2 linked regions of the Rattus norvegicus genome follow. The protein of the gene in region 2 purifies or fractionates together with the protein of the main gene of each other region. This does not show direct contact. Links are inferred from orthologs where the notes say so. Each region holds a gene or a part of one and is shown on either strand. Other genes may lie near its edges. The genes, in order: Nudcd3 and Klhl6.

Region 1 (3,817 bases), on a different chromosome or scaffold from region 2:
TAAGAATGGCAGCAAATGATTCTCTAACAAAGGCATCAGAAACAGCAGTCACACAGGGGGTGCAGAAAGAAAGTGGAATCAGAGCTAAGCATGGTGGCACACACCTGTGATCCCAGCACTTGAGAGGTAGAAAAAGAATCAGGAGTTCAAGGTCATCCTGGGCTATAGATCTGTCTAGAAACCAAAGGAGGAAAAAAGGAAAAAGAAAAGAAATCAGTGTTCAAAGTCTCAGATCCTAGGTAACGGACTATGAAGAGGATACTGAAAGGGAGAGGTGCTTGAGCATAGATAGTCGCCTTAAGATTCTTCTTCAATTATTCAACTGACAGAATGACACAGCTTCACATCTACCATGGAGAGCTAATTGGTGGAGGAACTCCGGGGATCCAGCTCCAAGTGGAACTAAGAAAAGAAGCGCGTTTGACATTCCATTTTCAGACGCACAGAAACCGCACCTCAGCCGCAGCTGTAGACTGATGCTTCAGCTAGGAACTGACTCACCATTAAACTACTGAAAGGTGAGACACTACATATCTAAGCACAGAAAGAAAGGTCAGGACATCAGAGGTCTAACCTGAACAGCAACTAGAGAAGTAAAAACGTGGGTTTCGGAAACACATACAAATCTTCCCTTTAAACTCACTGCTATGGTAGCACTCGGACTGGCACCATAGCCAGAATGCAGCTTGCTGTTTAAGAACTTAAAAGAGAGCCCCACCATAAGGTAGTTATTCTTCTAGTCCATTACTCAAGCTAAATACAAATTTCTTTTTATTTTAGAAAATGCATTTTTTGGGGTTGGGGATTTAGCTCAGTGGTAGAGTGCTTGCCTAGCAAGCGCAAGGCCCTGAGTTCGGTCCCCAGCTCTGAAAAAAAAGAAAAAAGAAAAAAAAAAAAAAAGAAAATGCATCTTTAAAAAAGTAAACCAAAATTCTTCATTTGTCTTTTTTTTTTTTTTTTTTGGTTCTTTTTTTCGGAGCTGGGGACCGAACCCAGGGCCTTGCGCTTCCTAGGCAAGTGCTCTACTACCACTGAGCTAAATCCCCAACCCTTCATTTGTCTTTTTAAAAAAGGTAAATATAAAAATGAGAGGTTGCAGGAATGTCTCCATCTGTGCAGTAAAGTGCTTGCCTTTAAAACCTATGCTAGAACACTTTGATCCCACCACTTGGGAGGCAGAGGCTGGTAGAGATCTGTCAATTTGAGGCCAGCCTAGTCTACAGAGTGAATTCCATGTCAGCCAGAGCTACATAGTGAGACCCTATTCTTTAAAATAAAATTAAAAGTGAAAAGATCTGAATTTAACCTCCAAAACCCAAGTCAAAACAAAGCAAAATAGTCAGGTACAGTGGAGGTTAATAATCCTAGTCCACAGGCTGGAAAGGTGGCTCAGTGGTTAAGAGCACTGACTGCTCTTCTAGAGGTCCTGAGTTCAATTCCCAACAACCTCATGGTGGCTCATAATCATCTGTAATGGAACCTGATGTCCTCTTCTGGTGTGTCTGAAGACAGCTACATAAAATAAAATATATATAAAATAAATAATTCTTAAAAAAAAATTTAAAATAGTAATAATCCTAGTCCAGGAGAGGCAGACAAGGGGGACTGCAACGTCACTGTCCATTTAACCTGATCAACTTGTGGAAGTTCCAGGGTAATGAGACTCTATCAAAATTTTTAAAAAAAGGCACCTGAGGAACAGCCTCCAAGGCTGTCTTCTGACCGCCATATGCACTTATACACACAGACAGCTAAAATACTCCTTACTGCATGGCTCTGTGAAAGTCACCATTAATAATGCATTGCTCCTCTAGGGTTTTCAGATTTGGCATCCAACAGTAAGGTATATACCGTTACTCTCACTTAACATTAATTATGCCATGAAACATCTGTATCTGTCAAGAGTTAAGAGAAACAGAACTAGCAGCAAATACTGAAAAGGATTTCTGTGAAGGCTGGCAAGATAGCATGGTCTGACAAACTGAGTTCAATCCCTGCAGCCGAGATGAGAGAGAGTCGGAACCAGTATTCTAACATGTCCCGTGGCCTCCACACATGCACCCTGGCACAAGCCCACCCATACACACAGTGAAAAAGCAAACACAGAGCAGGCATGTTTGCGTGCACCTTTAGTCCCAGCACTGGGAAAGCAAAGGCTAGCCTGGTCTACATAGAGAGGTCCAGGACAGTCAAAGCTATGTAGAGAGACCCTGTTTCAAACAGATATAAGGATGGATGGACAGACAGATGAATGAATATAACTATGGGGGATGTCTAAGCCAGTCCAAAATCCACATAGGCCACTGTAAGCTCCCCAAAACTGAGTACAGGTCCCATCCACAGAACTTTACTGAGTGCAGATTCCAAGCACAGAACTTCTTCTACCTCAGGGAAGTTGAAACTGATCAGGTCCACTACTACAGACCCTACACATAGCTACATATTCTTCACAGTAATACTGGACAAGTATTTGAGTGACGAGAAACTACAGCCCTGCCTACATGACAGAAAAAAACTGACTCTCACCTTGGCAATCTTCAAGATCACTTTATAAACAGACAGGCAATTCATGTTTTCTTGCACTTGCTATTTTTTGTTTTTGAGACAGGTCTCACTCTATAGCCCAGGTTGGCCTCTTACTCTTTATATAGACTATGCTGGCCTCAAACCTAAGTGATCTTCCTGACTCTACCTCTAAGTGTTGGGATTGTAGGTACATGCACATGGGAAAACTTTTCTGAATACCTGAATTCTCCAGCACCGAGAAGAACCTCTACCCCACCCCCAAAATCAACTAGCCCTAGTCAGTCAGATCTGAGTTCGGGGCCAGCCTGGTCTACAAAGCAAGTTCCAGAATAGCCAGAGCTACACAGTCTTGAAAATAAACAAACAAACAAACAAACAAACAAAGTAAACCTCTGAGGTAACAGACTCAAAGCTGAGCCCTTCCTAAAGGAGGCCCGGAAGCGCCTGGATGGAAGGCAGTCTGCTCACTAATTAATGTGTCTGAGTGCTGCTTGAGACTAGGAGACTAAGACACCAGCAAGAACAAAGGAATGTGAAGGCCATTTGGAGACAGCAAGATGGCTGTCTGCAAGCCACTGATAGAAGCCTTCAAATAAAGAGCCCAGGCAATACTTTAATTTGGGGTTTCCAGTCTCCAGAACAATTAGAAAATAAATTTCTGTAGTTAACCACCACCCACCAAAACAGAACTGATATTTTATATACCACACAAAACAAAATCCACTCCTAGGCAAACTTAACCTCAGTAGAGAAAGGAGGACACTGAAGAGGAGAGGCTCCTACCTGGGGAGCACAGGAGGGTCCTTAGGGCCTTCAGCAGCACTGCTAGCTGTTCCTGGAGCTTCTGCCTCCTCCGAGCCATGGGTCACTTTGCGCTCGGGGCCCTGTGGGCCTGGGAGCTCCTCCTTTTCTACTTCCCGAGGTCCACTCAACGCTGTGGTAGCATCAATCTCCACCTCCTGCACTGGGACTGGCACAGCTTCCTTCTCAGCTGTGGCAGCTGCCACTGCCTTGGCCTCTTCCTCCTTTTTTCTGATTTTCTCTTCCAGTTCCTTCTTCCTTTTCTCATCATCCTGGCGGGCCATGTGATCAAATGTTTTAAAGACCTAAAAATGAAACATAATCCAACAATAAGTTTATCTGCACCCTGTCAGACCACACCACCACAGAAATATAACTATCTTCTAAGTACAAAATTAAATAACAGGAAACCAAAACAAAATGGACACACTCTACAATTTCACCAAAACCTGGTAGGAATCACTCTTCCTCATTTCCAAAATGAACAAAT
Region 2 (3,817 bases):
CTTGAGTTTTAGAGTAGAAGCAGAAGTTAAGTAGAGGAAGTAAAAAGAAGACGACATTTAGATAGTATCTGCCTTGTTTTAAAGGCTGGGAAAACATATCCTTTGGAGGAACTACATCAAAACTACAACAGAATGTATACATCAACAATTAAAGAAACAGAAGCAATGAATTTGATCAAAAGAGGGACACAGCAGAAGAGTTGGAGTGAGAAGAGGGAAGAGGGGAAATAATGGAGTTATATTTTAATTTAAAAATACATGTTAATTAAATTTGTTTTTAATTAAAAAAATAAAACACCATAGAAGTAGGTGGTAAATGATGGCGGAGACCTGGGCAGGAGATATTCCATCAAAGTGGAGTTTAGGAAACTGTAGCAGAAAGAGTGGGTATCTTCCTGAAAGTGAAGAGCCGAACGGCCAGGGGCAAAGCTCACACCCGTGTCTTCTACCAGACCAGGGGCAGGAATGAGATGGAGGCAGGACAGACTAGGAGCACAGTGATGAAGTCTAAGGGATTTTCAGAAATTCTGGAAAGAAAGGATGAGACTCTCGATCTAGGCAATGTTAGAATAGAACAACAGATACAAATTCTCACAACAGCAGGAAAATGGAAGAAAGTAGAACCCCTTCATAATGGCGATTTGACTAGACCACACAGACCTGGGCAGAGGATGAATGTGAAGGCACAGGGCCACAGCTTTCCAGGTCTCACTTAAGCTTCCCAACAGCTGTATGGAAATGTGATGTCATCCTCATTACACTGAAACCCAGCTTCGGGAATGACGGACTTGTGGACAAGGAGAGTCCCTGGCTATAATGCCTTACATTTCCCACAAAATGCAGTATCTCTCAAGTCCAACTCACCTCGTTGCCAGAAAGATGGTACATCCTGGCTTCCTGAAGCAGGGGGAAGACTTCAGGGCACTGTCTAATGAGAGGGTCTGCTTCCACCATCTCCACGAAGTACCAGGGGTCCAGAAGCGGTAAGCGCACGTTCTCAAGGACACAGGGGAGCAGGCAGAGTCGTTCTGACTGTTTATGCCGGACCCAGCTCATCACAGTCTCAAACACTTGAGACTCTTCAGTCACACACAGGTCGTCGCTCCTCAAAATGTGGTACAAGGTGTCCACGGGAAGTTCGAGGAACTCCTCAGAATTCAGAATCTGAACAAAGTTTTGAATGATGTAGCTTTGAACTTGCGTCTTTAAACTGTCCAAGGAATGTGTGTCTGCCAGCCTCAGTATTCCAATACAATTTTCTGGGTTTAATGCTTCTGTGAGAAAGCTGGCACAGGCATCCACCAGCTGTAGAAACTAAGAGAAGGGAAGAAAGTCAGGCCAGAAAGTGATCATCCTTCAAGAACATTTATCAGTGAGTTGCGTGTGCCAGCCAAACTTAGACACATCGTAAATGCTCAACCACAAGGGGAGAGTCTAAAAATAATACATTCGTATAACAACAACTCTATAAATAGTCTAAGAGCGTGTTTAAGATTACCTTAAGTCACGTGAAAATGTAAAGATTTTCAAACCTCTTCATCAAATCTGATCAAACCCCTAGATTATTTTATTTTATTTTATTTTATTTTATTTTGTAGTGCTGAGGGCAGATACACATCACCACATGCTAAGTGTTCTGCCATCAAGCTGCAGTTCCCACATTTAAGCCTCTGTATTTAATCATCAATTTACAGAAATGATATACAAGTAAATACCTGTTAAATGATACCATAAATAGACATTCAGCTATAGCTATACAGTGGGATAATCCATGGGACAAGTGATTGAATTTCTTCTGTGAATATGCTACAAGTGGGGAAAAAAAGGAGAGAAAAGGAGGAAAAGGATGTAGGAACCTGAGCTCCGCCTACATCTACAAGTCAATGGGCAGCACAAGATGGATGCAGTAGTTATTTTTAAAAGAGGGATCCTAAAGTTGGGCGGAGGGATGAGGGGTCAGGATGAGTCTTGAAAGAATTAGAGAAGAAGTGAGATATAAATAAGATGAAGAGACATTCTATCCATGTATAGATTATCAAAGAATAAAAGTATATTAAAGACGAGAGACTGGGGAGATAATATCAACTTACTTCAACGTATGAACCATATTTGGATCACCGATTTAAGTAACGAAGTCAGAGAAGTGTCTACAGGCACTAATATTTAGGGGCATGAAAAAGTATTATTATTTTTAAGAGCGATAATGGCTTTATCATTATTTTAAGTAAGAATCTTTGTCTTTTAAGCTATGGAGATGGCTCAGCGGATAGAAGTGCTTGTTAATCAAACCCGATGACCCAAGTTCTGATCCCCAGAACCCACAATCACACGCTTAATGATGAAAGGATCTGCTATCCCACTATTCCCTATGGAAGACTGGGACAGGAGGATGCATTACAGCACATGGGCCTGCCAGCCTGGTTTACGCACCTTATCTCAAACAAGGTAGAAGGTAAGGCCCAAATTCAAAGGTTGTCCTCTGACTCCACATTCAGGTTATGGCATGCATGCACCTGCACCGATATACAACGACATGCGTGCATAGCTCACTCCCTCCTTCCCTCCCTCTTTCCTTGCCCTTCCCCCTCATGACACTTTTTTTTTTTTTTTTTTACCATTTAACTTGTTTCAGTGTTTCTTCACAAATGGTGAAAATCCTAAAGTACAGACAAGGAATAGCCATACTGTTGTCACCAACATTATAAATATGAAATTATAAATTTAAACATTTTCTGGTTTAAAAAAATAGATCTGTTCGTCAGTGCAGTTCTGCAGGTGTCTAGTAGGGTGGGTCTCTGTGCTCCTGACCGTGTCCACCTTTATCCATTTTCCCAGGTCCTCCACGTTCACCTCTTTTTCCTCCCATCTGTCCCATTAAAGGTCCAGGAGGCCTCCAGGAACCACCTCACCGTCCTCCACCAAAGCCACCTCGTTCCACGTCACGGCCACCTCAGAAGCCTCCTCTGTCTCTACCTCTGCCACCTCTGAACATTCCTTGAGGACCACCACAGTCCATGAGTCCACCTCTTCCTCCTCGCATGCCACCAGGGCCACCTCAGCCTCGATCACCACCCCAGGTAGAAAGGGTGGCAGGAGGAAGCCCTCGGGCTTAGGGGCTGTACACTGGTTGCATTCTGTTCTCCAAGGGAAATTCTGGTTTCCACAGCCCAGGCTGGGACACTGCCAGTCTCCAGCTCGGTGCTGGGCATTTCCTCCTCCAGAGAGGTTCCCTCTGGAGTCTCCTCTGTCTCCTCCACAGCCTCCGATGTGACCCATGGGTCCTCTGGGACCTCCACAAAGTGATGGTGGCGTCCCTCTGCCCTCACAAGGTGGCATGCCACCCCGCATGCTGTTCATTGGAGGCTTCTTTCAGGCAAGAGAAACTAAGTTTGCTTCCTTGAAAATCCCATCACACCGTTCCACGGCAGCCTTCGCAGTTAGTGGATCTTCATAGGACACTGTGGCGTCACCTTTGTGGTTCACCTTGACAACCCCACACTGCTTAAAGAAGTCTGCCAGATCATCCAGACTCACAGTGTCATTTAATCTTTGTCATAAACTGTACTGTTGTCAGAGTCTTCATTGGGTTCTACAGGAAGGCCTACATCAAGATCTGGTCCTCCCTCCATGGGTCCACCAGGCTTTATTGAAGCCACCTCACTCTCCAGTGCCCATTCCACCGCGTCCTTCTCCCCGCCCACCTCTGCTCATGCCTCCATAATCAAATGCCCCTCTTCTCCTGTCCCGATTATCAGGTCCACTCAAGCTCCGGTTCTCTCCTGGTCCGGAAAATCCTCCAGATTCTTGCGCATAAACA

Evidence for each region.
Region 1: the proteins of Klhl6 (region 2) and Nudcd3 purify together in Homo sapiens (affinity purification with mass spectrometry; 3 studies listed by BioGRID and IntAct, counting the BioPlex papers as one, with this or other methods). This does not show direct contact. The link is inferred for Rattus norvegicus from reciprocal best matches to the Homo sapiens genes KLHL6 and NUDCD3.

The regions. Positions count from the first base shown.
Region 1 is NC_086032.1:85,262,658-85,266,474, forward strand, and holds part of Nudcd3 (nudC domain-containing protein 3), read right to left. Parts: intron 3,633-3,817; coding exon 3,310-3,632; intron 1-3,309.
Region 2 is NC_086029.1:94,499,202-94,503,018, reverse strand, and holds part of Klhl6 (kelch-like protein 6), read right to left. Parts: exon of another isoform or gene 1,563-3,817; intron 1,315-1,562; coding exon 865-1,314; intron 1-864. UniProt on the Homo sapiens protein: Involved in B-lymphocyte antigen receptor signaling and germinal center formation.